4 linked regions of the Oreochromis niloticus genome follow. The protein of the gene in region 1 interacts with the protein of each later gene in a pairwise test. Links are inferred from orthologs where the notes say so. Each region holds a gene or a part of one and is shown in the gene's direction. Other genes may lie near its edges. The genes, in order: mid2, slc25a48, unc45a and hoxb9a.

Region 1 (7,865 bases):
GTGTGAGAGAACCGAGGGGTCAGTGAGCTGAAAGACAGCAGCTGGCAGCTACTTACATTTATATGGATCCTTAAAATCCCAGACAGTTGCACAGCAAAACAGCCAAATCCTCAGAGCTCCTCAACAAAAGAAATGTTTTGTAAACTTTAAGTACATGCACTACTGCAGAGCAAAGATTTAGTCACTGGCATAGTTACATAATAAGCATTATGCAGTCCTTGGAAGTTCTTGTTGCTTTCTTCTCAGGGCATGCAGTACTGATTAGAAATGATAAATAATGTAGTTCATTTTGTTTTATTTTCAGCTAGTATTTAAAAAAAACTTAAAGCTATTAATTACAACTTCCCACATTTAAAAAAAATCATAGAAACATAATTATTTTTTGTAATACTCTTTGTTATCTTGTAACTAACAAAAGCTGTCTTTGAGTAGAGACTTTCATATGATTTGATTTCTTATGGTTGATTTTAGAGGTACAATACATAAAAAATATGAATATACAATATAGAAAATCAATACAGTCATCTCAGAGCCACTATTCTGTGACAACAAAGGTGCAGCCCCGATAAAATCTCGCCACTGGAGTTTCGTGTAGTTCAACATATAATCCAAAGAGAAGATAGCACTGACTGATTAAGATTTTTTTATCCGTGCACCTTTAAGCCTAGACCTCTAGCCATATTATCATTTCTGCTTCCACTTCCTTGTACATGGCTTGTGATGTCCTTGCCACCAGCATCATGTAGACACCTGTAGATTTGGTGCTCACAGGTCTATAGGCTTCTACATGATTAGTGAATATGTATCCTCTTAGTAGATCACCATGCAGGGTGGTTGTTGATGATCCCTGTGCTGTAGCAGTGTCCCCCGATGGCAGATTGCATACATCAGTTGCTTGTCTATGTGACACTTCTACTAAAACACCATCTTTACCTGCGAGGCACTACTTATTCCTCTCACATTTGACACAATGCAAACTAGACACCTGCAATGACTCACTATCACCTCTTGAGATATGACGGTATAACAAGACAGGACAGAGCCAAGGTTATCCTGTTAGTATGCTCACTTCAATAGATATCCCTGCAACACAACACACAGAAGCCTTTGACGTGATGTCAGAAGGGTTTCAAATTATGATGATTACATTGTTTATTTTTATGGAACATTTAAACATGGAAATCTTACTTGTTTTACCATTAAACCCATGTGTACTCCAGAAAAATTTAAAAGTGGGTCATTTGTTAGTGCCAAAACTTAATTAAGTATCCCATAGTGTCCCATCTGTACCCAGCCTCATTAATTATTACTTTTCCCCAGCCTCGGTTATCCCTTTTCAGTTAACTATTCATAAGCCCTGTAATGATTAACAATATGTTTTGGGTTAATCTCTTTGTAAGGGAAGAGATTTTTTTTAGAGCTAATGCAAAATTCTTCAGCTGAGTGTGTTATTAAATACTTTTATTGACCTCCACAGTTCAGAATTACTGAGGTCTGATGTTGTATTGACAGAATTTTTCTTTTTCATTTCAAACTGTGAAGCTCTAACGAAGGCCCAGACTCACCAACGAATCTCTCTACCTTTTTGTTGTATATTTTAGTATTTCTTTCTAACTCCTGAGGAAAATGATCAACAAAATCTCAGTGTTCATCAAATAAAAGCAGACCGTTTCAGTTCATGTAGCACTTATTGCTGAAGCTAATTTGTTGACCTTGTTATTTGCTTGGCTTTTAAGAAATTATAATGCAAACATACAAAAAAAGTATAAAAAACATAAAACAAAAGCACAGCAAGCAGTGAAATGACAGAAAATACTAAACCTGGAAACATACCAAGAGTGAATGAAAATGGATGGATGGATGGATGGATGGATGGATGGATGGATGGATGGATGATGGATGGATGACATTTTAGTGCATCTGCTGCTCAGTCATTGGTTGGTCTTTTCTCACATACTGTACTTACACACAGACATACTTAGCAAAGCTTCCCTGTCTAAATGTGCCATGTGTATTCTATCCATGGACATTAAACAGTGTTTTTCTCTTTTAACTTTGCAGAATTGGTTCTGTGTTCCTTTGACCAGTGATGGTAGTGTCGCACAGTCTGCCTCTGATCTTCATGCACATTTCAAACAAAAACGAAACAAAAAACAAAAAATGTCCACTTATAAAAGGATTAATCCAGAATGCTAACCATGACCACAAACCCCACAAGGTGGCTTTAAAGGCTGTTTTTTGTGCTCACAGGTGTAGGTTCATAAGTTCCAATGCACCCATTGTTAGTATCACAAAAGACATGCTGGCTCTGAACATATCAATGGAGGATTTGGGGCATTGTCAGTTTGGTTTTTATGTAGGATGAGATGAGTGTCCTTGCAAGAGAAATTGACAGACATCCTTCACTTTTAAATCCTGCCTTTTGTGACAATACAAAATGAGCCAACCACTGCAGTGTAAAGTGTAAGTTCTAATAAGACTGTTTTTGGGGCTGTGGGATGTTGGAACAGGAAAATAGCAAACTTATTTGTTTGAGCCAGATGACATTCGTCATAAAAGACCAAAGTGAAATGTGAAAGTTTGCCATTTCACACAAGCTATTCCTCATTTCGAGAAGGTTAAACTGATAAACGTACTTCTTTGACAGGTTTACTCATGTGGAAAATGTGTCACTTTGCAGACTGGGTGACACTGAAAGATAATAAAAAATTTATTTCTTGAAAAATAAAATCTATTTTATATGTGTGTGTAACAACTATGTTAAAGTCATCTATCACTGTGTACTAATACACCTTATACTTTCAGCTGGAATCTGTCTGTACAGCAATAGCATGTTCAGAAGCGAACAAACAGTCTTACAGGCCTGCATGCCAGCACAGATATCCACCTGCGAGCTTTGATATTCAGTCCAATGGACCAGCTGAGACCTGGAGTTACAGTTTATCAACCTAATCCATAAGCATATGTGTAAGGTGTGAGGGGTCCTGTGCACCCCTTTGCTTTTAAAACCTGTCTTACAACCACTCAGCAGACTGAGAGGGCCAGTGCTGGTTTTGCTTTTCGTGGGTGGAAGGTACAGAGAAACAAGGACTACCTATCAGTTTTCTCCTTAGGATGAAGTTGTCCTTCTCGTCTCTATTGAATACCGAGCTTGTCACAGAGGAACTAATTAACATGGCAACTTGTACGGCCGTGCAGTTCTTCCACCATTCAGTCTGTATCCCATTTGCATTTGAGAGCTGTTTGAAGGCAGTAATTCAGCAGAAAAATCCTTGTTTCTCTTCAGAACACCCACATTAGCTCACCTACAGAATTGGAAGCTCCTTTCAACTTCAGGCTCATGATGTACACATTTTAACGCTAGCACATTTTCTAGCTTTCTAAATGTTTATTTAGCTAAAAAAAAAAAAAAAAAAAAAACCCTCATCACTGAATCCCCATGCAAACATCATACTCTTCTGTCAGCTTCAAACATCTAACTAAAGCCTATGACTATCAAAATTTAATAATTCTTACAGTTATTACAGTTTGAGGACCAAAAGCTGAGAATTCATTTGCAATAAAAACCTCTGAAAATCAGTGTTATTAAAGCATGAGACTTAGAAATGAAAGATTTTATTTAAATTAAACACACACAAAAAAAATAGAATTCAGAAGAAGAAAAAAACAATCTACAAACTGGTGACAAAGGAATAACCCCTCGACCTTTATACCGAGAGGAATCGTTGGCTCTGGTGTGTTATAGAGCATTTTCTGGGTCCACGTGACCCCTAAGATTGAAGAATATATATATAAATCATGACAAATGATGGGAGTGGCGCCCACTAGGATGACAGTGCCCCCATCCATAAGACATGAGCGGTCGATAAATGGTGTGGTATAAAAATAATATGGAAATGTAAAATATGGCTGTTATCACCGCCTCTCAAACCAATTAACGCTAATGATGACTCTAACAACTCTTACACTTGGTTGTAAAAGTTGTTAAACTCTGATTGGTGCCTGGGAGTAGTGACATCATTACTGACTTAGATTACAAATTATGTATATGTCTGTATGAAAAGAAGGAAAACAGTCTGGATTGTGGAATAACCCCAAAGAGTTATCCTGACAAAATTATTGTTAATATCATTTTACACTGATTAATGGTACAACCTACATATGTGATTCTAATTTGTTCATTTTTATTAAGCAACATTTAAATATTTTTTATCTTAATAAATATAATTTATCTACACACATTTGAGTTACCATCTATAAGAAAACTTTCATATAATTATATCTGCTGTGGGAAATAAAGAATTGCCACCGCGATGTCAGCTAAACAGCAATTTAATGTCTTAATAACGGGCCAAGGAGACAGGTGTATTATATTAACAGATCCAAATTGCTAAGGTGAAGACAAATGACAGCGACACCGTGAGGTCACAGGGGATGGGAAAATGGTAGGAGGAGGAGTATGGGTGCGCACAGCTCGGGTTCTTTGAACGGGCACTAAAGCAGCGGTGTAACCGATCCCAGCTGCTACTGTGTGGGGAATTGAGAGCTATTCCCGTCCCCCGTACGTTGATCACGTGTCCTTAGGGGACGTTTGCTTTGGGGATCACTTTGGGAGGTAAAGGCAGCGCACCGGTGCGCGTATCCAATTTGGAGAGAAACATCCTTAATAATCGTAATGATCCACCGGAGGATCAACCGGATCACTTTTGTTTCGGGGCGTTGTCATACACCCTGTACAGTGGCTTGCTTTACACAGATCAGTAAGGAACTGGCACTCTTTGTGTGATCCGTGACTCACTGACTTGTCAAAACTTCTGCGCTTACGAGCCGCGATCTTTACTGCGAGCATCACATTGCTGCCATCTCCTGCAACGAGTCGACGTACGGAGCTGTCACTGCGAGCCGAGGTAGGCTGTGCTTCCTTTATGTGTGTTTTTTTTGGCGGAATAGCGAGAGTAACATGCACAAGAGGGCACACACTGGCTAGGAGCATGAGTTAGTTTGTGGAAGGCACACGCTGTGCAGTATTGTGGGTTCCAGGGTTGCAACAGTGTAATGATCCATGTCAAACGATACAGTAAGTGTATGACGAGCTCTTATCTGTGTACAGAAACATGCAGCATGAAGACGTGTGTAAATGTGTGCCTAATATTCTGCTTCGAAAAAGACGGTGAGAAAAAACAAAAACAAATGCGCTCTGGTACGTCTGTGGTGGGTCAGGGACTTAATACATGTGTTTAATGTTCACAGTGGCCTGCAAATTTATTCTCAAAAGTTTTTAAGAGTGCTAAAATTTCTGCACTCCTGTTGATGATGTTGCTGTTGAATATTCTGAATGAACTCTTACTTTTGGAGTGGATTATTTTAAAGACTGGTGAACATGCTTTAGCCTTTATGAACTCATCAGTTTAGCCATTGTGTACCACAACACCAGCCACAACATTAAAACCACTACTACAGCTGAAGCGTATGACACTCATCATCCAACTACAATGATGTGCTCTCCTGGGAAATCTTGGTTTCTGGCATTTATGTGGATGTTATTTTTGATATGTACCCACCTAAACATTGGAAAACAAGACATGTTTCATGACAATGGCGCTCCCAGATGGCAACAGCCTCCCCCAGTGGAACACTTGCACCCCACCACACCACAAAAACTGTTCAGGAACGATTCTAGGAATGCGACAGAGAGCTCGAGGTTTTGACCCGGCCTCCAAACTGCCAGATCCCAGTACAATAAAGCATTTACAGGATGCCCAGAACAAGCCTGCTTCTCTGAGACTCCACTCTGAAACCAGCAGGAGGCAAATGATCCACTTCTAATGTCCTGGTGCTTTTTCCACACATGCCCATGTCTCAATCAGTTGCAGCTGTTTTAGCAGCACAAGGGGGACTTGCACCACACTGGGCAGGTGGTTTTAAGTTTAAGGATGACTGATGTAGGAAAACAGGGACTAACCTGAGCTGACTCCCAGCCACGCCCTGCTGCTGTCAACCAAAGCAGCAGGAAGAGAGGCATTTTCTCATTTCCCCCCCAGAGAGATTAAAAGGAGATTTTTCAGAATACATATAAAAGTAGATTTTCTGAACAATCGCAGGAACACCAGTTGTCAAGTCTTAAATGCGTTTTAATTTTATGTAATGAAAATTCCATGTTATTAAATAAAAATGCCAAACTAGTCCAGTAGAAGGCACAAACCAATGTAGTCACCACAAACCTGCTAATAAATGTAATATGAATCCTGCAGAGTCCCTGTTGTGATATTAGATTGTCAGCCTGGTTATTGTGGAGACAGTGCTGCAGGTGACTGTAGAGGGACTCTGGCTTTGCCTTCAGAAAAGTGTAAAATGTCAGCTCCTTATCAATAATGCAGCACACCAAAAACAGTGGGGAGTAAGAAAATGGAACCCACTGTTAGAGACGGTTACCTAGTGCTTCATCATTATTCACATAATTGAATAACAAATACTTTATCAAAATCCACTTGGAGTAATTACCAGCAATGCAAATATTTCCATTCTAATCCTAATACACAACCAAAACAAACCCGTATGATGAGCTGTAATGTGCCATATCTTGTCATGCTGATCACCAGTGAAACAAATTTAATGTCTATTACAATTTTTTTTAAAAACGGTGGTTCACCATCTTATAAAAATGATTTATTTCCCTGCTCTCTTACTGCCTGTCTTGTTAATGCATGATCACTGTGGTTAATGAGACAGGTCTCAGTGCATGGGGACTGACAGTTTCAGAAACTGCACTGCTAGTTGGGTGAATACAACTGACACCCTCATTCATCATGCATCCACGGGGTGCTGCTTGCTCTCCTAGTCTATCCACGCTGCGCTTCTCTCCCCTTGTCTTAGTCGAGTCTCGAGTTGCACCCTCAGATGATAATTATTAAGACATTATACTGATGACAATAGCAGAGTTTTTTTTTCTGTAAAAGAGACAGGGAGTCAGCTTCTACGTGCTGGGATGATTATAACTGTGAAAGAGGGTTGGCGTTCGTTGTCGAGGTTGCAGCTGCAACGATTTCCAAGAATAGATGTAAATGCCAACTGTACAGTAGTGTACCTGTTTGACTCTGTTACTGGCAGCCAGTAGCTAATTGCGGACTAGCCAGAAAATCAAAAGCTGACTTGTCAAATATCGTTTTTTTTAAGAATCTGTGATATTACATTAGATAAATGAATATCAAGACGTTTTTTCCCCACACTTTTCTAACTAAATAAATGAAAACAAGTCTACATTCTTTTATGCTGTGCTTCATCAGTGGTTAAAATATGTTACCTGACCTGAAGCAATAATATAAAAGTACAATTATGAAAGCATTATTAATCTCGCTAATCCCGATGGCATGCCATGGTGCAATTTTAAAATGTAAGAGATGTAATTAACCCACATTTACCATAATTACTGAAGCCTTGACTAAACTTTGTAAGCTTGCATATTGCAGTATCTCTTAGATTTACTGTATTAAACTTTGATGCTCGGGAAAATCGAATGAAAATAGCGGATACGTGAATCCCAGTTTTGTGCACTTGTCTGCTGCAGCAGCTACAGCCCTTGAATGTTACTGTTCACAATCACTGTTTGCATAGGGAGGTTCTCTGTACATGTAAATCAGCTTATCCCCATAGAGCAATTAGGCAGAAAGGATATACAGCATGGGGATGTTTTTACTGAAGTCTGTCTGTCAACACACTGATGCCTGAATGGGTCTGAATAATCCATATCTTTAAGAGTCCACTTGGCTATCACAGGGACTGTCTTAACAGCAAGAGAGTCGGTGTGTTGTTTTGCTTGAAGTTGTTTGAGGATTGCAGCTCCAGCTTCCCATGGAAAAAAGGCTTTC
Region 2 (8,065 bases), about 15 Mb from region 1:
GTTTTGTTCCTGTTCAGATTTTGTGGAAGTAAATGTTTTTGAGCCAAATCAGAGAGTGTTTGTACCGGTTACCAGGTCTGCTCACACTGATGTGATTAACCTGGATGCAGCAGTGTTGAGCGTCATGTCGAATTATATTTGGTAGCAGAATACATTTGATTGGAAGAACTATGATATAAGAAGAATATTTAGTGGGTTAGATAATCTATTATAATCTCTGGAAGTCACGTGATGCTGTGACACAATCCAAGGTTTTTAGTGACAAACACAAACATATTTTCCTATCTTAGTGAGGACATCTAATTGACATAATACCCTGACACTAAAACCCACACTTTGAACCTCAAAAATGCCTTAAACTTGTGGGGACGGGCTTTTGGTCCCCATAAGTAGAGTAGCATACCAATTTTCTGTCCTCACAAAGATGTCTAAACATGCACACACACCACATTTTCTATCTGCCTGACCATCTTCCTGGTGACCAGTCCACCTTTACCAGGTCCATATTATCAGTCAAGCTGAGACAGAAGGAATTTAAAGGTTTGTAATTTGGTTATTTGTAGTTTGATTCCTTCCAAAAATGTATTAAATTGGAAAATAGCATGACACCTAATTTGTTCTGTACATCTCTTTTTTTCTATGTTCTGATAGAGGGAGACACTTTTACTTTATGAAACCTTTATTTTAAAAAAAAGAATTCATACAATAAGTTTCAAGAATAATTGCGGTGAAGTCTAAAACCTGTTTTCTCTCGCTGAGCTTCTGTATTCAGAGAAACATATCTGCATAAATTCCTGTTGCCATTCCCAGCAGTGCTGAGTTTCCAGTTCCTGTGAATAAACCTTTTAAAACTGCTGTTGGCTTCTGGGTTAGCTGTTTAAGTCCATCCTTTGGTAAATATGACAAAGTTGTTTGTGAGTCATAGAATTTCTCAACTTTCACAGTGAAGAAATGTAAAAGTGAAGTGATCACTTTGTGTAGTCACACTGAGAATTGCTCTTTGTTCTCTTCATCACAATGAGCACATGAACTATTTTTTATTAAAAAACTATTTTTAAGACTCTGTGCGGTTAATGTTTTTCTTCACCCTCCCCTGCACAGCATTACCCTCAGGCAATGGAAAGTTCTTGAGCCACTTGTCCAGATAATATCTATTTAAATAATTGCAGCTTCAACAAAACAGCCAAAAAGTTTTCATACTTTCTGTGACAGCTGGCCTGGATGGCATTCATTCAAACCTGTGAAATATGGTTCAAGTAATAAATTCTGTGTTTCTGCTGCCAATGAAAGTTTACCAGTCACTCATTTAAGATATATGAGACAATACCTCACACTGGCCAATAGCATGTATTCGTGAATACACAGGAACTCCAAAGGTTATTGTTCAAAAATGTAATGTGCACATCTGTTTCACAGTTTAGTATTACTGTTTTTCTAAGTTTAACACTGAATGAAAGCTCATTATATGATATGACAACATACATGACACAGCCGTGTGTGAAAGCATGACAAAACAGATCAGTCGTGGGGTACATTTATTCTTTATGGCAAGGAAACCCCTCTAGGTTTACGATACTAACCAACCTGTAGATTGTTTTTCATCCATCCATCCATCCAATTCAGTTCAATTCAATGTCATTTATACAGCGGCAAATCACAACAACAGTCGCTTCAAGGTGCTTTATATTGTAAGGTAGACCCTACAATAATACAATCCCAACAATCATATGACCCCCTATGACCAAGCACTTTGGCGACAGTGGGAAGGAAAAACTCCCTTTTAACAGGAAGAACCAGGCTCAGGGAGGGGCGGCCATCTGCTGCGACTGCTTGGGGAGAGATAAGGAAGACAGGATTAAAGACATCCATCCATCCATCCACCCACCCACCTACCTACCTTCCGGCTTTCCAAGGCGACAATAAGTTGTTTGTAGGCCAGCTGAGAAACATAATCTCACCGGGGTGTCCTGGGTCTGCCTGGACGGTCTCTGCCCTGTGGAATATGCCTCTAACACCTCACCCAGGAGAGGCTCCCTGGTGGCCACCTAAAATCAAAAATAAAAGTTTGATGTGTAGGAGTAGCAGCTCTGCTCTGAGCCCCTCCCACACGACTGAGCTCCTCAGCCTGTCTCTGAAAGGCTCATTATTGTCACCCTCACAAACAACTGAGGTGCACTTTGGTGTCATTTCGGCCAGTCATGCATCTCTCAGGTTTATAAGCCAACAGGTGTACACCTGCTGCCTTCCTAACCAGTTTAAAAGGCTGAGGGTTTTTGTTTGTTTGTTCATTTGTTTGTTTGTTTTTACTGCTGCTTCAATGATCTATCAGTGCAGAAGTTCAGACTCTCAGATTCTACAAGGAGAGATGCTGCAACAGCTGGGAGACGTGACTTCCTGGAGGACAATTCTCCTCCTCTACCAGTGCTGATATGAAGGTTTCGTCTGAGCAGTGACACCCATCATTCATGAGCAGCTACCCACGGCCTCAGCGATGAATGCTGATGTCTGCTGTTTACAATGAACGATAATGGGGCCCTGAGGCTGAGCCCACCCACCTTTGAGGAAGCTCTTTTCTGACACTTCTACCTTCTATCTCATTCGTTCAGACACCACCCAGAGCTTGTGTTCATATGTAAGGGTGGATAAAAGAATCAGCCGCTTCGCTCTCTCTCAGCCCCCCTCTCCCCTCACTTGGGGCAGTGTCTTTCATTTTACTCACTTTTCTATGTTAACAAACCAAAACTGTCATTGTGTCAAAATCTGTCCTAATAATACAACCCTGGAGATAAATGTTTGAGCTTTTCAGATTGACTTTTACGTGAAATGGTGTAATGCTTGCCTCAATCTGTAGTAAAAGAGTGAAAGGAGATACAAACACACTGTTTTGTTTATGTTTTATTTATTTTTTGGATAAGTCATCGGGGCTCTTGGCTGCTTCCTTGTTCCTTATTATTTCCCAAGCAGGTAGATTTTATTTGGCCCTGATATCACAGCGGATGCCGTCCCTGACCCGGCCTGTTTATCAACTTTGAGTTCCCTCCTGGAATCGAACCAAAAAAAATCTGAGATCCTGTCAAATTAAAAGCCTCAATAATAACTTCAACATAGATCTGAATCTTACTCAGGATGGTTGCCTTGTTGTTTTGAGTTTCTTGACTTTAAGAATATTTTCTAAATGATGTCCCTTTATTTTTACAGATAAACATTAATGGATCGGCACTGAGCTCATGTATGGGTTTTTTTTTCATTTCAGGGAAAGCTGCAGGGGAGGAGGGAAATAGAGGAACTGCTCTTTGCTGGTTGTGTTTTTTTAACCTTTGTTGGTCAGACTTGACTCACTGACTGTTTGACTGTTTTCTGGTAATTTTCCATAAAGTACGAAAGCGCTGTGTCTCTGTTATCAGCGTCTTATCGCAGGGTGCAGTACGAGTGGAGGTGAAGGAGGAAAGGGGGGAGTGTTCACCACAAAGACATGAGGTCATGTGATTTCAGGGGCAGTACATGTGTTTACAGATGATTTAGTTTCTGTTTTATCTTTCATTATTCCTTTAAGGCTAAATTATATTTGTGTGTTCACTCCCAGCACAGCACAGAATTTAAGCACATAAACTTTAGATGTCTTCTCATTTGGATCCTTAAATTAAAGGACAGAGTATGAACGCTGTGCTTGGTGTTACACTTGTATAATGGTAAGGAAAGTTTTCTCAGTTATTTACATTTTTATGATAGACTGAAGTTTGATGTGTTTTTGTAGCACTTTGTTGTTGGTTTATGTGTTCAAAGTGTTCACATGTTGAATATGAAAATTTAATATCTAACATCTGTCTTTTATTGTCTGAGTTTATTTTTCAGCTGTTGTTGAAAAATATTGCAGGATTCTGACAAAATAAGAAGGATCGATACAACATTGGCATCAGCCTCTGTTATAAAATAGAAACAAAGCTCCACTTTTGTCCCAGTAACTCACATCTGCTGCCTTAAATGTTGTTTTTGACCAAAGAAGTGAGCTGAAAAGTGGAGATGATTCTGAGCTGCTACCCTGTTTCCTTAATAATTACCAGAAAGGTCAAAAGCAAAGGACAAAAGCCCCGGGAACTAATAATTAAACTTCAGTTAACTTAAAAAGACCTTCTACAACATGGCGGACGAACGGTTTCTTTTTCCATGCAGCTGAAGGGCCGTGAGATACCTGGAGAAAGATACAGGAGACGTCTGAATTATAGGAGAAGGATTTTGAACTCAGTTCTGAATGTAGCAAGGAACCAATGAAAAGAAACTAATATGGGAGAAATGTGCTCTCCCTTTTTTTTTTTTAGTTCCAGTTAGTACTCTCAGTGCCGTGTTCTGGACCAACCAAGTTACAATACACAGGAAATTGTTTCTGCTCATCTGGATGTTGGATTTTCAGTGGATGAAACATCTGAGTGACTTCTTCAGTCTCAGCTGACTGCAGGTTTCCCCAACCTTATAAACAATGCTTCTGCATAACGGCTGACACCAGCACCATGACTAAAGTTCCTCAAGGTGACTGTTGTTGATGCCACAAAAATAAAACTGAAATGATATTTATAAGCAGTTTGTGTAACTGCAGTCTTCAATTTGTAACCCAGGGGTGGGGGAACTCATTTAAATGCCTAAACTACCTCCTCAACATGTCTTGAAGTTCTCCAGAGGCCTAGTAATGAACTAATCATTTGATTCAGGTGTGTTGAACCAGGGTATGATCTAAAACCTGCAGGACACCGGCCCTTGGGGGCTGGAATTCCCCACCCCTGTTGTAACCCTGCTCGTTTTTAAAGAAATCAGATCTTTATCAAACACCTTCTGAGATGTTCTCTTTATTATTATTTTTTTTAACTTTTCCCATCAGCAGACAATTTTTTATCCAGGTTAGTCTGTTTGAGTGCAGCTCTGTTTCACAGCTGTGTCACTGATCACACTCTACCATTCGCACATATGAAGTGTATAAAAAGATCAATATAAGCACACGCTGCTTTAATTACATTCAGCCACGTTTTTTTTTTAATTCTTTTTTTTTTATCGATGATAATCATTTTACAGCACATACAGGAAGTTACTTTTTCTTGTCGGTCTATAAAGATGACCGCTCTTTAAGAGCTTTAATCTGATTGGACAGGCTGAAGTGAAGTGTTAGAAGTGTGAGAAAGGTCAAAGTGCAGCGTTCTCTGTTTTTCTGCTCAGCTTTCCTCCTCATGGCTCATTTCCATCCCGGCCTCTCTATAGGCCGCATAGCTTTGGAGAGCTCACTCCTGATTGGCCAGCAGAACGGCCTCGCAGATTCAGGCTTTGCTCCGATTGGTTGCTAGTGACAACTCCCGGAGTTACCTTCTATAAGCCGGTTTTTTCCCTTCTTGTGAAAAAAGTCTGGGCCGATACATGATCAGCAGGAGCCGGCAGCAGTAAGTGTTCTGTCCCGTGGAGAGCTCGCAGACTGTGGGTTTACTGGCGTGGGGCGCGCAGAGCAGCTCCGAGTAGAAGATGCAGACCTCCAAAAGTTTCCGCGTGGACGATTTCATCGCAGGATGGATCGCAGGTGAGTTCCTCAGTCAGACACTCCGTCAATGCGTGTTTTCAGTGGATCTTTGTGGGGCGTGTGGGGTGAAGAGGGTATGGGTGGGAGGTGGAGGGAGGCTCAACAGCGCGTTTGTTTGGGTCCAGTGAGCTCCACACAGCGCTCCACAGACACGCACAATCCTCCGTTGTTGTACAGTAAAAACACGTTTTTCAGGGGAAAAAAAAAACGTCATGAGCTCCGGGTGCATCCTCATCCACATAAACAATGGAGGCTCTGCACAGACTCCCACCCCCACCCGAACCCCTCATGTTTCCACAGTGAAGAGCAGGCTCACCGCCTCCGTTTACTCGGAAAGCTGCTCGCTTAATGCTCTCTCCCCTCGGTCAGTCAGGATTCAGTCTGCCGACGTTTTTATTCTAAGGACAAAAAGTCGCTTTTTCCAAGCTTAATGCGAGCTGTGTCAGGGCTAGCCGCTAGGGGCGCTGTGGCGGCTTCATTTTAGTTGCATAAAAAACAGAAGTAGGTCTCTTTATTCTGACAGCATGACGTCTGTTTATTGATTGTGAACCCTTTTCAAATGAAAATATGAACCATGCAAAATATGTACGACTAATAACACTTTTATAAAACTCAAACATTTAAAGCTCAGATGATTAAAGTATCAACAAGTGAAGAGTTCAAACATTTCTGGGGGGTGGGCAACTGCACGGCACAGATTTTATTTTAATTATTATATGAAACTGAAATTATAAAAAGATGTAAAACAAATTAAAACCTGGCATATAAAAACAAAAAAGCACATAAAGCCCTGCAAAAACACATTATCTGTTTAAGCTGTCATATAGTAATATTTTAAAGTCCAGCTGTGCTACAAAACACAGATAACCCTCACATTGTTGATATTCTTTATTTTGCAATGTGAAACTATTCTGCCAGTTGGACATCGCATTATTATGATGTCAGAGTCACAGCCGTGGAGCTTTTGCAGTCACAAAGAAGATTACACAAGGAGCTGATGCTAAAAGTCCATGTTGACCTGCTTTTTTTCTCCAAATGTTCAGCTGAAGCGATAGCAGTGATCGTATCAGTGAAGGCTTTTTGGAGGCCAATGATGAACTCAGAAAGACCCCACAAGTTTGGTTCAAGTGCAGGACTTCTAATCGATTTTAAGCTACAGAGTCCAGGGGTGCATCATATTTTTCTGTCATCACCAAGAATTTATGTTTTTTGTCTGCTTTGCAAAATGCAATTAAATTAAAAAAAATTTAAAAAGAAGAAGAATAGAAAGCTAGAAATAGACCTTAAAGAATATCTCACAGATTTCCCTGAATGTTATAAAATGTTAAGAAACGTGTGCAGCCTCATTTGCAGCTTCACTTTGTGTTTCACTGCCTTCACAGCAAAGGTGAACTGAAGTTTTTATAATTTTTTCAAAAAATATAAATTTTAGGGTTACACTGCTAACAAAGCACCCCAAGATTCAATATGAAATCACTGTGATTTTTAACGTTTGCGATATGCTGACCAACCTTCCAGTTGTATAACTAGAATACAAGCAGCTGGCAGCCAGTTGAGTCAAGTCCCCTGAAGTTGTGCTCGATGATAAAGACTCTTTCAGATTGGTGGCAGCATGCTGTCAGTCTGTCTGCATTCATAGATTAGACAGCAGTTATTTACAGACCTTTAAAAATCCAGAAAGACTGACTGTTTGCAGAAAGGTTTGCTTCTATAGGCCCACCTGTGCCATCACCATGTGATCTAAGTGTTGCTCAGTGTGCAACACCTTCAAGCGGTGGGTAATTATTTAGTCCCCACACTGCAGTAAAAACAGTTTAAGATGCTTTAGTTTTTGGCTGAGACGCGTTGCCTTTCAGCATGTTGGTTATGAGTAAAACTCTTGAGATTTTTGTGGAAAGTCGTCTGTTTTTCTCTCTCTGGCATTTTGTGCTTCATTCCTCTTTTCTTTCTGTTTTGGCTGTAGGAGCTTCCAGTGTGGTCGTTGGCCATCCGCTGGATACAGTAAAGGTATGTCAGACCTCTGGAATCATTTTACTGCTGCATTCCTCCACTTTTATCACTGCAGTTTGCGTACTGTAGCGTTGTAGCTGTTATAAAAACGGACAAGCCTGCAGCTCATCAAGTCATATACACTCTGTTGCACATTCTTTTGGGCAATTTTTTTTTTATTTACGTCCTTATCCATCCTACAAATCAGGATCTGTGTTTGTATGACACACAGAGTCAATTCAGCATTTCTTCCCTATAATCATAATTGAATCGATGTTTTGATGTCACATATTTCTTTTGCCAAAAAGAATTTAGTATGTGTAGCAGCTAAGGAAGGAAGCATTTAGCAGAAATGATCTGAATGTGCTTAAAACCAGTGTGAGTGTTGTGAACTGTCTTCAGTCAGAGATGTGTGCAGTGACTCCGAGGTGAAAAGCCTGAATATTTTTGTCCAACAAACTCCAAAATAACAAAACTGAAAATCTATGTTTCACAATCAGGTGAAAAAAAACCCAAATCAAT
Region 3 (7,418 bases), on another chromosome or scaffold:
CCACAAGCTCAGACACACAACAGCAGATTATTGCAAACAGGTCTTTAAGGTTTTAGCCATATTAACGGAGACTGTCAAACTTTAATTATCATACTTACTGCCTAACGTTACAAATTACGAATAAAAAAAGCTAGCGCTAGCTGTCAAATGTACCATCAAGTTACGTCTATTGGCAGCTCTGCGAACTCGATTCAAGAGTCGGACAACGTTAGTATGAGAACTGCAAAGGAAGGTACTGATAAATTTGGATAAACAGCTGTCACATCTGTCGTTTTGTTCCGCTGAACATTTATGTCGGTGATTACGGGCGATAGCAAGTATTGACTGATAACATTAAGACAATACGTGGCTGATATTTCCCTGCTAACCGCTTACTTTTGTCCTAAACCTCGACTACCGTTTGCGTACGACCTTGGCACCTTGTCTCATAATGATAAAATCTGACGTTACCCATGAAAGGAGAGTATTCCGGAAGAGTGTAAAGCCCAGCAGTGTACGTGGATTTAGCTGCAGGCTGACAGATTACCTGAACTAGCTTAGCAGCTAGCGCCGCTGAGCAGCTGCTGCAAAGGCTGATGGGAGGAAAGGGGGTGTGTGCTGCTGACTGACCAGCATCTTCGGTAAAATAAACATTTAGAAAGTAGCTTTTTCTATTAAAAAAAAATAATCCATCTATTTATCCATACTCTTCCGCTTATCCTTGTCCACATGAATTAAAAATATTTTTTAAATTTTATACTGTTGTACAGGTACAATTTTTTGAAGGCTTTGTGCTAATTTGACCTGTTATCTATTTAGCCGTATCTACTGAAATTAGATCCACCAGTGAGGGTCGAAATCAAAGAAAATTTTAATTTTAGTGAATCTTGAAACTGTCAAACTATACTGAAACTGAATTTTAACGGTACAGCGGTGTTCCCACCACATTTGCCTATAGCTTCCTGCACAGACAGGCACCTGCAGGTTTTTGAAGAATCATGGGGTAATCTCCAAATAGTGTTATAGTGAAAAACAGTATAGTAGTCATCATATATGGTGCACATAAGTAACTGAGGTTATACATAGGGTGCCTTGAAAGATAAAGCCTTAAAAAAGACAAGATATATGTTATAAAGGAATTTATAGCCCAGGTCAAAATTGACCTAAACCTTACAGTGAAGGCAGAGAATGTGAACAGTCGAAGGACTAATAAGTCTGATACATGCTGAGCCAATGGCACAGGAATAGAGTGTTTATGATAATACAGAACTGTAAAATATTACCCTTGTTTGTTATTACATTTTAATGTAATGATTTAATGATTTTAATTTAATGATTTATTACTGTTCCTATAAAAAGCAAAAATGTAGTTCTTCATCTTTGCTCTAAACAAATTCAATTCTGAAATTTATTAATACCTTTTGAAAGACCTTTTCTACTAATGCATGTGTGAGACTGAAAAATGGAGGAAAGTAGCTGTCCATTTCTCACCTACAGTGTCTCAGTGGATTATGGCAGTAGAACCTTTTAAGCATATAAATCAGACACTAATAATTAAAGGTTGACTAAAAGCAAATTAACCCACATAGATAGTGGATTAAAGATGTCCAGTATTCACTTATTTTGTTTCCAGTGTTGAGTGCTTGTTATAAGAAACACAGGCATTAAAAAAAATGCAATAGAGAGTTATTTTTGAGGTAGCTGTAAAGTTTTATCTCCATGAAATTTTTATAAAGCTACTGCAGTGGGACTGTTGTAACCCCTGCCAAAGTCCTGTTCCAACAGACAAAGAGTTTTAGACCACAGTGACAGCTGCAGAGAACCACAGTGCAGGTAAACAACAGCAGCAAAGCCCTATGTGGAAAACATAATGGTGCATTGATGATGAGCTACACTGTTGTTTTTTGGTGGCTTATCTAAGTCTGTTTTTTGAAACAGAAGGTCTGCTGTCACTTCAGTTATTAATGAGCAGAATGCGCAGGAAATTACAGGAAATAAGATAAGATAAGATAAGATGGCCTTTATTAGTCCCACAGGTGGGAAATTTGTTTTGTTACAGCAAAAGTGCAAAGTTATGTAGCAGAAATTAGAAAACACTGGAATGCAATAAAATACAATAAAATAAAATAAAATACTATATACAATAGAATAAAAATAGAATAATATATACAATAGAATAAAATAAAATACCATATACAATAGAATAAAATAGAAATACAAATACTATATACAACTGAGTAGGAAAATACAAAAACACAACTTCGTCAGAAGAAGAATTGCACGTATAGCAGTCTTATTGCACATGTGTGGGTTTGTGTGTTTGAACAGCTGCAAAAGTCTTTATTGTAGAGTCTGACAGCAGTGGGGAGGAAAGACCTGCGAAATCTCTCCGTCCCACACCGTGGGTGCCGCAGTCTCCCACTGAAGGAGCTGCTCAGTGCTGTCTCAGTGCTGTCACAGTCTCATGCATGGGGTGGGAGATGTTGTCCAACAGGGATGACAGCTTAGCCGCCATTCTCCTGTCACTCACCACCTCCACTGGTAAATGTGTTTTACTCCAGTCACAACACACAATAACTTTTGATAAGGTCTCAAAAAACATTAAAAGTGCTGTGCTACGTTTAAGGTTTCTAAGTTATTTCCAGAATATGGTTCCAGAAAGTCCACCAGTAATGACAACATAATTTTCCACATAAGAAAGGAGCAAATGTTTATTCAGCTGTTGTTGATTTCAGGCCAGGCCTTCTTTCTTTGGGACTGTGGTGCTGTTTTAGATTTCCTGCAGCTATATTATGTAAGAGACCTTACAGCAAAGTCCAGCCAATAGGAAACATATACCAATCACCATGCTGGATATTCTTCTAAATTAACAAAGGTGCTGTGGTAATATAAGAGTCTTAACAGGTGTACCTGAGCACAAGGACCAAAGGTGACGAACTTGTCTCCAAGGCGACAGAGGACACCGAACAATAGTGCTAGACAGTATTGGTAAAAGGAGATTTCCCATAGGACTGGTATAAGAAATGCAGTACGCGTCCTTTAGGGTTTTTAACTTTGGAGCTCCACTGCAAGAGACAAAGCAGTAGTGCTCACTTTAGGTTAACATATTAATTTGCAATGATATTAATTTTTAAACTTTTTACATCAAAAATCAGAATGCACTCTTGTTTCCAAAAAGTGAGAGAACTTTTTCCTTGGTTCATAATAAATGAATCACTTCACTATGAGGTGCTTAAATTTTAATGTAACACATGATTTAAGTTGTTCTTCTATGTATGACCTGAAGTACATATTTTGGCTGAACTGGCACTGTGGAACAACCGAGTTTGACATGCAAAACATTTTAACTAACATCCACAAACATTTCAAATGGAATCCCTAGCATGTAACATATAAATACAAAAACATGCAAACTGTAGAAGACAAACATTAGTTCCTTCTTCCCGTCTTGATCAAGTTTAGTATAATAAAGGACTGTATTGCTTAATAGCCTCCCCAAGTGGACAGTGTTTACATAAAACTGTTTAACATTGTCCTGCATCATACATAGGATACTTATGTGAAGTTACTGACATTCATCAGTGCTGAAAACGTAGAAAAAATTACAGTAAAAGATCAATTTATCTTTGAGTGTTACTTACTTAACAGACTTATGCATACACTTATACAGTTAATCAAAATAACTAGTTTCTTTTTTAAAGGCAATAATGACAAAAATCATAATATTTATGCTCAGAATTCACATAAATGAATTCTTAAAAATATAATTTATAATTTAAAGCTGCTCTATTGATTCAATAACTTTGAGCATTTGTGGGTCCTTTTACAAAATGTGACCAGTGGAGAACAACCCAGTCAGAAGAGTGATTTTCCCACAACCTGGCAACCCAAATGTTCTTTTCATGTGTAATTCCTTTAAAAAGATAGTTCTAACTAATTAATTGCTAAGTTTAAACAGCTGCTATATTACAGTTCTCAGACAGATATGGTGAATGTATGAAAAAAATGAACTGCTGGCTTTCACAACCCCTCTTCTTTATGACATAAGTAGCCTGATATAACTCTCTGTGTCTGCATGGACTGAAGAAAGCCACATGGAATGGAAATATAACCAAATAAAGTGGAGATGGGGGCAGAAACGTTGTAGCTGCTCTCTTCCTTTTATGGTAATACAGCGTGGGCGAGAGGGGCAGTGCACGTCATCAACGTGCTCCGACACCCGGAAGTGTAGAAAGATGTAACATGTTTGGCTGGAGTTGGCGGTGTTTGCGACCACGTATAGTAAAATAAATCTACATATTTGCATTATACTGTGTGCGACACCTTGAAGATGAGTGAGACTGAAAAAGAAAAGGTAACGTAGAAACAATTCGCTACTTTTCCCTAGCTTAGCAAATTTCACTCAAATACATTTGCTCGAAGTTTCTCCGTGATCCTGTTGCTACATTTCCACCCGTCTTTACTTATAGGACCCTGCCGCCCTGAAGGAGGAGGGAAACACTCTTTTCAAGGCAGGAGACATACAGGGTGCTGTCTGCTGTTATACCAAAGCACTGAAGCTGAGTGACAGCCAGGCAGACAAAGCTGTACTGTACCGGAACCGCTCTGCGTGCTACCTTAAGCTGGAGGAGTACAGCAAGGCAGAGGCTGATGCCTCCAAAGGTCGGCCAGTTCTCTTGTTTATTCTCAACATCACCGAATAACTAATCTTTCATTGCGGCCCACAGGGAGCTTAGCTGAAATGAAAGAAAATAGTCCATCTTAGTGCTCAAATTAGCCCCATTTTATGCGGTTTTAAGTTTATTCATCATCCGAATAGTTTCAAAATATAAATATTGGCTTGTGGTCTTTTTATCCATATTCACCAGTCACTTTTATCCATAATTGTTAATGTAACTTCCTGCTGGGAGTTTTTTGGGTTCAGTCCAGCTTTAAAAAGGGTACACTTGCACAATGACCATAATGATCACAGTGATCCTCCTGCAACCTTGCCATGTGCACTTTTGAATAGCTCTTAATTGTCATTGTACATGTACAATGAAATTGTGAGTGCTCCACACCAACTATGCAGGAAACAAATATAAATAGTAAGACAAAAGGAATAAATAAGAAACAGGAGTAATATATACAAGACAAGAGAAAGGCACAGAGGTTGCAAAGTGCACTTATATTACTCTGTATGGGTTAGAATATGTAAAATCATAATAAATTCCACATTTATATCAAGGCAAACAAAAAAGGTGCAGAAAGATCTTATGAACCTGTACTTTGTGTATATGAGTAGTTTACAGTAAGGTAATTTGCAATACCTTTGTAAATACATACAAATGGACCTATGTGCATAACACACATCCATATAAATGCACAGATGGCCTTATATTTCATACATTCATATGCTCAAAAATAGAAAAGAAACAAAAGAAGCATGACAACATTAAACTGAGCTACTAAGCTGACAATTTTCTACAGATCAGCTCATCTGACTCATACTGTGCATATATTTTCGTTATATACATAGATTTACATTGCCAGATAGATAAAGAGCCAAAGGCACTGGTCCAGCTTTCAAACTGCCCACATCCAAACCTATCACATGATTGAGTGGACCAACAGTAATACATGAAGGCCCTCACTCTGCAATCCACAGTACCCAGAAAAGGATATGCTCCCGATATCCCAGTACCAGACAGCAAAACCTCACCAGGCATCCTGTGATCATGACCCAGCAACTGTTTTGGTAGAAATGGGACACCTAAACCAGTGGGTTTTAATGTTATGGTATATATAGATTATATTTAAGTTATATTGAAAAAGTGAAATTGTTTATTGACTTTGCTTACTTATTGTGAAGGCACTACTTGATTCATACTCTGCTATATGTGGTGCAAACTGAGAGTATTGTAAACAATAGAGTTTGAATGCGCTCTGCTGGCCAAACTGTGTGATGACACCGATTACATACAAGCATCTTTTCCTGCATTACAGTACAATATTTAAACAAACAATGGACAACATAATGATACTGGTATATATATTACCAGCAGCATTATCTTGTCTTAACAAAAACAGAATTTTAGTTATTAAGTAGGTATTATAGACCAAAGTGTTGCATTTTTTTTTTTTTTATTGAGCAATAGTTACAGCAGAAATATTTTTTTTATAATGGATAACATTATTCATAACTTGTCATTTTCACCATTCTGGACATTGTTGCATGAAATGTGTCTTTCGAAAGATGCTTTTGCAGCTTGATGAATATTATAATTGTCTCTTTTCAGCACTCGATACTGACCAAAGTGATGTGAAAGCCAGATTTCGAAGGGCCCAGGCATTTCAGAAACTTGGCCGGTTTGACCAGGCCTTTCTGGATGCTCAGAGATGTGCCCAACTGGAGCCCAAAAATAAAGCTTTCCAGGATCTGCTCAGACAGCTGGGAGCACAGATTCAGCAAAAGGTGGTGTGATGTGGATAATGGTGTGGATAAAATTATTTTCTAAATTATATCTTGCTAATTGAAATATTTTCTCTTAACCCTGTAGTCAGCGCAACTAAATTCCACCGATGCTCGTGTGCAGCAGATGTTCTCCCTCCTCTTAGATCCATCTACTAAAGAGTCCGATCGACAGAAGGTGAGAATAACTCAAAAGGCAGATGAATACATTTCTCTAATTCATTCTTAATGTGCCTGATTTTTCTTCATTAATGCTGATGTCTCTGTAAAACTGTACGGCACCAAAATAATCAAATCTTTCAATCAATTTCAGGCTGCTCAGAATCTAGTGGTGCTATCTAGAGATGAAGCAGGAGCTGAACAGATCTTCCGTAATGATGGAGTGAAGCTAATTCAGAAACTTCTGCAGTCAAAGCTGGAGGATGTTGTACTTTCTGCTCTCAGGACATTGGTTGGTTTGTGCACAGGACATCAGTCTAGAGTAAGTGTGAATGTTCCTTTGAGATTACTATTTGCTTCATCTTTAAAGTCACTTTTTGCATTTTTGTAGTTTGGAATTATAAAAAAAAGTTTATATGCCTTCTGGTTTTCATCCATAATTAATATGAAGCTAGAGCAGACTGTTCAATGTGCTTGTCACTCAGTTGTTTTGCAGTTCGTTATTGCTGATGTCCACTATTCGAATTTCCAGACTATGGCGATAGTGAATGAGTTGGGAATGGAGCAGCTGTGTGCGGTAATGGGATCAGGAGCTTCAAGTGTGTCTCTGGCTGCCTGCCATCTGCTACAGGTGATGTTTGAAGCTCTGACAGAGGGAATGAAAAGAGAGATCAGAGGAAAAGATGAAGCCATACTTCCTGGTGAGTTTAGACACTTATATTGGGAACTTGGTTACACTGATGAAGGTTAACCTTTAACAAATGCTTTGTGTGTGTCTGCTCTGTGTTCTTTACATTTAATTGTTACTCACTATATGAATCTTAACACA
Region 4 (7,715 bases), on another chromosome or scaffold:
TTTTGTGGTGAGAGAAACCATTGAAAAATTGATTCTTTAATAGTTTTTTGAGATATTCATGATCAAACATTGTCTAGGATTTCAATACTGCTGGTAAAAATGTCCTCTGAGGCCATGTATAGTAGAACAAATGTTAGCAAGAGCATGCATTTAAGTAAGCTTTATAAATCTCTATTCTCAATACAAGAATGGTTGTAGGTATTGATGGTACCAAATCATGAATTACTACGCCAGGCAAAAAATAAAATAAATAAAATTCTTGCTTTTATATTGTGCACCCACCTTAACAGACCCATAATGTTTGTCTCCTGTAAATTTTTAAGATACTATAATTACATCAGCAGATCGACTATCATCCCTGCATAGAGCAACGCAGTGCCTGAACGTAAAAGATTTCGTGGACTTATCAACAAGGCTGATGGTTTTTATCCCTATTTGAGTCAAATGATACAAAATGTATCATCAGCAGCTGTATTGTAGTTAAGATGTTTCCAGACATTACTTCGCCGTGAGCCCATCCAGCATAACGATATGTTTCTACTTTTTTCCTGCTGCTTAACTAATGATTAATACTGACTTCACTGTGCCTGTAGCTTAGGAGGGAGAGCGGTCATCTTGTAATCCTAACGTTGCTGGTTTGTATGCAAGACATGGGCACGATACTAACTCCAAGTTGGTCCGATGCATCTATCAGTGTTAGATAGAAAGATTTAAGCATAGAAAAACGCTTGTGTGAATAGGTGAATGAGGGGTTATGTATAAGACGTATTAAATCCTTTGGAAACCTCCTTAAGCTTTTCAGCTGAGAAATATAATGATCTACGAGGTTCAGCCACGTGGTCGTTGTTAAAATATATAGATCGCATCAGTCACACAGGTTATGATACTCATCAGGTTTTATTGTAACGTAACAACCGTTACCTTTAATAAGAATATAAAGCCTAAATGAGCAATTGTAAATCACATGAGTAAGTGTTAACGATTTCTTTTAATTATTTATTATTATCTTATTTTATTTTTTAGACTTATTATTACACCGCTATTACTGGGGTTATAAACGCTGACGTCCACTGTAAATATGACTTTATTACATGGCAGTTATTTTACCAGAAGCATGTATCAGTGTTAATCTCGGAGTTTAATTTTTGCAGTATCTGTTATCACATTTGGGATTTTTTTTTCCTTTAGTTTCAGAATTAACACTGAAACAGTCTGTTCCCGTGGTTTTGTACTCAGCGTTCATAATATATGAGTTGTTCTTGATTTTTAGAAATAATTCAAAAACATATGAATTATATTACATTAAAATATTAATGTGACCACGTGATGCATGCCTATTTTAACAGACTACTTCTACAAACAAAATAGAAAATGCAGTTTGATATCAGAAAGAACTGTTCCAAAGCCAGGCAAACAAAACGACAGACAAAAGAGGAAACGATGTCTCTATGTGTGTTAACTCATTATGCATATTCCATGAAAAATGTTATTATGTTTCTTTTAATGCAAAGGAGAATACTTGAGACCCTCACTCTATTTCAGAAGATAAATGTTAGTGCCTATTTTGCGCTCCTTTCAAAACGTTTCCGCCGTTTAGGAAGAAAAGAACAGCGGATGAAGAAAAATTGCCAGTATGTGGGGAAATTAAATATCTAAATACTAAAAGTTCATGAGACAGAATGTTGAGACCCCTTTTCCCCAGGGAAACTAACCGACTGAACAATTAACCGACTGATTCTGTATTAAATTAAATACAAATATCACAGGGAGTAGTTGATCGGGGTTTTTTAAATTTCAGATCAAAGGGCCAATGAATATATTTTATCTAATTAAAAATAATAAAAAAAAAATTGAAAAGCAATTAAAAAAATATTATTTACTTTTAAAAAAAGAAAAGAAAAAAAATCTCTCCAAACCTTTTCTCTAATATTAAATGTCTGCATAATGACATTTTAGCTGGGTTAATGCTACATCTACATATTATTGTTTTTTGTTTTGGTTTGTTTTGTGACAAAATAATTTAGAAAATTGTTAAGTTCATGTTATTTTTCTTACCCCACCGACTACATTTATTTAATTTTAACTTGATTGTGATTAACAGTCAAAATACTTTTAGCTTTAGATCTAATTTGTCATTGGTTACAATATGATGGTGGAGCGTTCGCTGTGGGAAAAACAAACTAGGTTTACTTAAAAATATTCACTTTAGTATATCAGACACACTGCGATCATTTTCTTTGCAATTTCAATATCTGAAAATACAGAAATGCATGAAGTAAAGCCATCTTCATCATGCATTTAAATTGCTTTCTTACACTTTATTTTTTAATTGACTCAGCCTGCTTCATTCTCACTAAATGACTCCTGCGATTGATTTTAATATAATATTTAAATGTTAAATTATATGCCAGAAAACAGAAAATGGGAGATATTGGAAATGGATTTAGTGCAATGTAAATGCATGTAAACAAAAAAGGGTTAGGGGGAAAAGCCCAATTAGTTTGGTTACGGCTTCAGCTTTAAGCAGAATCATCGGAAGAACTTTTTTTTCTGTAAAGTTGCCATTAAAGCTCGGTACTTTGACTAAAACGAAGATAAAAACATAAAGATTGAACAGACGAGGCTGAATTCTGCACATGTACTTCATTATTCTCAGTTTTGGCAGTGGAATTGTGTTTTTTTGGTCACCGACGTCTTCCCAGTTGTTTCATGCTTTTGTGCCAATCTATGCCATGTCAGATCGGAAATATTTTCTCTACAGGATATTTGAAGAGAACATCTAAATGGATATGGGCAATGTTAAGAAAACGAGCATGACGGTATTGGATTTTGTTTGTGTGTCCATGAAGGTTATTTTCCGAAACTCTCTTTAGTCATAGCACTGAAGATGTTGAAATTTAAGGTGGTTTGCAGAAAAATTCTTTTAGCTTTTTCAGCACGACTGTCTCCAATTAACTTCTCGAGCTGGCAGAACGCCCTGCAGGGCGGAGGCCCACCGACAATTAAAATTCCCACAGCCTGTGGTCTGAAAAGAAAAATATCCCTAGCATTTATGCCTGCAGAACAGTATGTATGTTTCTACTCTAAACATATCGAAAATAATGCTAATTATTGCTTAACAATTTGAAGTGTCAGGTTAATTGACACTTATGTGGCAATGTGCTACACTGCTTCACAACGCACCTCATTACTTGTTCTTGTAGTGCATAAAAGCGATCTGGGTCACAGTAACTTTATCTAGAACCTATTTGATTGAGCATGAACAGCTAGAGTTTTTAATACAGTTTATATTTTTATTTCTTTTTCTTTTTGATTTTCAAACGAAGCTGTAAACGAGTGCTTTAACGCAAAAGCTCAGAGGAATGTGGTGAATTCAAGCTCAAATACCAAACTGTGCGCCAGAATCACCAGTCTTGTTTGAAGGACTCTAGGTTTGTTGGGTTTATATTTGCATTTCTTCTCCTGAGATGGACATTCACCAGCCGTCGTTCAGAATCGTACAAGTCATCATGTCTCCTCAGCATATATGAAAGCTGCGCTATAGTCCACCTTTCACCTTGTAAATAACAGCTTTAATAAGAAGCAACCTGTATTTCATATTTAATTGTAGTAAATAACTGTGTTAGCTCCATACGCGATGCACAGTTCGGATTTATACCCTTGAGTACTAGAATGACTTCCTGAACGAGTCAAAGACTCCAAGTCTGAAATTGTAAATAAATGCAAAGACTTACAAGCCCGGTGACTTTGCAGGTCAGCTGCAAGTCAAATGTTAGGACTCCCGATCAGCACAGACTGCAGCTGCTCTTCAGCGTCCTGGTTTCGAGCACACGGGCGGATTTTATCCCAAATAATTCAGCCAAAGAGGTCACGGCCGGTTCCATGAAATAAAAGTCCGTTCCAGCTTCTCTCCCGGTGCCCCCATTGAGCTCCGGACCGAGCTATGTTTACCCATAGCAGGCTGACCGCTGAGTGAAAAGTACCCTGTACCGGAGTAGCAAGAACGATTCAACAGCCCCAGTTGCGTTTACAATCCGCACCACCACAGGCCATATATCAACTCAATAAAAACCAAAGCAGCCGGCCCGATCTAGGATTTTATTATGGTATTAAACAGACTCAAAAAAGTAGTTGAAGTAGTTTGCGCTATAAAGACAAGCGACCTAACCACGCAGGACCCGATTTAATGACGCTCGTTAACACAACTGGCTGTTAATCTGTCAATAAAAAAACGCTCTAGAACTCTCAGAAAAGCTGCCAAGTAGATCCAGGAGTCAAGTAAACGATGAAAAACACACATAGGTGTGAATTTTACCGCCTATCTTGTCTAGGATAGAAAATATCTGTGTTAACTCTTCTTAAGTGGAGGACTATTGGCACTTATACTACTGGTATTTTAAAAGCACACTCCAAGATCCACAAATTGATTTAACAAGAGCCAACGTTGTTTTTTTCACTTAACATCTTGAATATATAAATTAAAAGTATTTGGCACTACTTATTTGTCAGCCATTGTCTCTGCTTTACAGTTCATACATACAGTCCAGACATAACATAATTAACGGTTTTGAAAGCAGCAGTAGAGAAATTGACAAGATATTCGGAAATAGCCTTCATTTTGCATATTGCATATAAACATCTATTGGGGTAGGGGGTGGGGGCTTGTGCATGCGTGATTTACGCTTCATTGACGCTTTTTTTCAGGTTAGAAGAAAAAAAACCGGCCAATCACTTTGCGCCTCGCTCACAGCCTTGACAAACCCCCGTGCACAGTGCTAGGCTGTAGGGCTGTAGCACTTTGTTTCGAAAGAAAGGGACTAGGGGAGGGATAGAGAGGCAGAGAGACGAAGTAAGAAAGGGAGGGGGCAACCTAGCAAAGGACAGAATTGAAGAAGATAAAGAAAGAGGGAAAGGAAGGAAATCTCGTAATGTCTCTTGTCTTGTTTTCTATTTAGTGAACTCGAGGCGTTTCACAGATAATGCCAGAGAATGTCCATTTCTGGGACTTTGAGCAACTATTACGTGGACTCCATCATAAGTCACGATAGCGATGAACTGTCATCCCAGACTCGCTTTCCTAGCGCCCAATATTCCGGCTCGAGCTCCGCTGCGTCCGCGAGTGGGAGGCTGCCGGGTGGCGCTGCTGGGCACACGGAGCATCCCCATCCCGATTCCTATCCGTCCTGCAGTTTCCAGCCCAAGCCTCCAGTCTTCTCGTCATCCTGGAGCCCGTTTAATCCGCACCACGGTGCCAGTGGCCTCCCCGCTGTCTACCATCCCTACATCCCCGCGCAGCACGTGCCCGCCGCGGACACACGGTACATACGTTCATGGCTGGACTGTGCGCCGCGGAGCTCTGAGTCTGGTCCGGTACAGGGCCAAACGGGTCAGGTCAAGCTGGAGCCTCAGCTTGGCCATCTCGGTGGGGAGATCGCATCCAAAATCATGGGACAGCATCAGCACGAGCCCACCACATACATCTTGGAGTCAACGTCCACGGCAGCGCGCGAGCTTAGCCACCATTCGGCCGCCATCCAGGCAACAGGGTTCGAAGAAAACAAGGACATTTGTGAAGGGAATGAGGACAAAGACGGCCTGGATCAAAGTAAGTTATTAAAGCAGGAAATAACGCGTGATAGTGGGAGAGAAGAAGCGGAGGGAGGGTGATTGTAAATGCTTTTAATGCCGCCATAAAACTAGAACAAAGAACTGGAGAGGCCGAAGTGCCCCCACCGTCTGCTCTCTAACTTTACTGTGTTTTTTGGCTCATGTCATCCTTGTATTTGCAGCTGGCGCCTGTAGTAACATTTTTTAAATGGATTCTGTGACGCAACTTTTTCAGAGTTTAACAGTTCTTTAAAAATATATGTCAGTGACCAGCAAGTGATGCATACGATTTTATTAACTCTATTAAATTAGCTAAAGATATTACGAGCAACACTCTGTATTATAATGCTGTGTTGGATTTCTTGTTTTAAAGGTGACCCTGGTATGGCCGTAAAAGAGACCGTCAAAGTGACTCATAGTGCTTACGATAGTGTTGTCCATCTGGCAAAAGCTTGTCACAGCTTTGCGCAAATGATGCGTATGTATCATATACAAGTAAAAAGATTTGGAGCGCGCGCGGGGAGGGCGGTGAGTCCAAAAAGCTTCGAAGTCAACTTAGGAAGAAAGATTATTAAGACTAACAGTTGGAAAACTTCTGGCCTATTTGGCACTTTTTATCCTCTTCGTCCTTGAAGCTATCAACCCGACAGAAATCACAGAAGGTAGTTTGTTTGTGTTACATCCAGATTGACATACGCATTACTGTCCTGTTTCAAAAAGACCAAATCCTCTTTGAGATAGGATATGATGTTATCTCTGACCCTTCTGCTCCCAATCCTTCGCCTTTACGCATTACGCATTACCCATTTTATGGCCCCTGCGTCTTCCGTTTTTCTTTTTAGTTGTACGCTTATAAATGGGAAGAAGAAGAAGACAAAAAACTAAAAACCAAATTGTCGAACCCGGTTTCTTTTTAAAAAATAATGAAAGCTCAGTGACCCAGCCGCAGAGCTCCGATCCGCCAGCATCTATGGAGCAGAGGCCTCTAAGTCAGCCTGCAGCAGGGTCTGGCTACACTTTGTTAGACTCGCATCAGAGCTGGACAGTGAGGACGTGAACTCTGCCTTCTTACAGCGTGTATAAATCGTCCCACCTAGGCTCATGTAAATTCCACAGTGGCTTCGAGCTTTGCCAGCTAAGTGTACAACGTGAAACACAATGAATATAAGGGCGGAACATAAAATAATTATTTTTGTCTGCATCCTAAATTAATTTCATTTTGTGTGTTCTTTATGTAGTAGCGAGTTTTATTTACTGATTTATTTATTTACTTTTTTTTTTTTTAAAGCCAATAATATATAAATGACTGCAGCCTTCAAATCAGGTTCATCTCAAAGCATCAAACAAAAAGCTAATTAAATTTTAACTTTGTTAAAATTACGCTTTCCTGCTGCGTAATACTTCAACACAGGCACAGCTCTACTGACCTCATTATGGTCTGTAGTCTGGTGGTTATACGAACGTATATGTAAAAATACCACAAATCACAGTCATCGGTCATCTTGTTATAAATCCGCTGGTAGTTTGACAAGTGCAGGACGGTCTTTTTTCTCCCCTATTCTTTTATGTGTGTGTCTTTGCTTTTGTTCCTTTGTGTTTTGTTTGATAGTTTGCTTTTTTAACGACAGCATTTGACCTGTCATATGCTGGGTCTTTTCAGAGTTATCTTCCAAAGTTTCTTGACTTTTTGGGTGGGACAGAAGAAAATCGCACCCTAGAAAGAGGTTCAGATGAATGTATAATTTCATTTTAAGTGACGCCGGAGTTTATTTCGCCTTCTCAACTCCCTCCTGACAAATCTACCAGAGGAGTCGGAACCATCGGTGTGCCGATGCGAAAAAGAGCGGGAGACCTGTGTCTCTATAGTGGCCTTAAGAAGAAAAAAAATGATCACAAAGAAACACACATTCATGTATACACGTTTAGTGTATATATACAAGAATGCTACACTGGAGTCACACACATATGCATACACATGCAGAGCCAGCTTATTACTGCGATTGAGCACGCTATCCATCAGAGCAGTGAGCTAGTCTAGGATGGAGGCTAGCAGGCTCCAGTCTGAATTATTAGACTTTCCGTTTGTGTTCGTGAAGGTGCTCCTCCTG

Evidence for each region.
Region 2: the proteins of mid2 (region 1) and slc25a48 interact in binary tests that used the Homo sapiens proteins (3 or more experiments, as listed by UniProt). The two-hybrid records come from large-scale screens. The link is inferred for Oreochromis niloticus from reciprocal best matches to the Homo sapiens genes MID2 and SLC25A48.
Region 3: the proteins of mid2 (region 1) and unc45a interact in binary tests that used the Homo sapiens proteins (3 or more experiments, as listed by UniProt). The two-hybrid records come from large-scale screens. The link is inferred for Oreochromis niloticus from reciprocal best matches to the Homo sapiens genes MID2 and UNC45A.
Region 4: the proteins of mid2 (region 1) and hoxb9a interact in binary tests that used the Homo sapiens proteins (3 or more experiments, as listed by UniProt). The two-hybrid records come from large-scale screens. The link is inferred for Oreochromis niloticus from reciprocal best matches to the Homo sapiens genes MID2 and HOXB9.

The regions. Positions count from the first base shown.
Region 1 is NC_031966.2:21,470,173-21,478,037, reverse strand, and holds the start of mid2 (probable E3 ubiquitin-protein ligase MID2), read left to right. Parts: upstream 1-4,443; 5' UTR 4,444-4,907; intron 4,908-7,865. UniProt on the Homo sapiens protein: E3 ubiquitin ligase that plays a role in microtubule stabilization. Mediates the 'Lys-48'-linked polyubiquitination of LRRK2 to drive its localization to microtubules and its proteasomal degradation in neurons.
Region 2 is NC_031966.2:6,859,134-6,867,198, forward strand, and holds the start of slc25a48 (solute carrier family 25 member 48), read left to right. Parts: upstream 1-5,026; 5' UTR 5,027-5,499; coding exon 5,500-5,554; intron 5,555-7,517; coding exon 7,518-7,561; intron 7,562-8,065.
Region 3 is NC_031972.2:57,599,126-57,606,543, reverse strand, and holds the start of unc45a (protein unc-45 homolog A), read left to right. Parts: upstream 1-4,172; 5' UTR 4,173-4,309; coding exon 4,310-4,333; intron 4,334-4,448; coding exon 4,449-4,641; intron 4,642-6,257; coding exon 6,258-6,433; intron 6,434-6,518; coding exon 6,519-6,608; intron 6,609-6,743; coding exon 6,744-6,911; intron 6,912-7,121; coding exon 7,122-7,290; intron 7,291-7,418.
Region 4 is NC_031969.2:2,761,324-2,769,038, forward strand, and holds the start of hoxb9a (homeobox protein Hox-B9a), read left to right. Parts: upstream 1-4,693; 5' UTR 4,694-4,989; coding exon 4,990-5,605; intron 5,606-7,715. UniProt on the Homo sapiens protein: Sequence-specific transcription factor which is part of a developmental regulatory system that provides cells with specific positional identities on the anterior-posterior axis.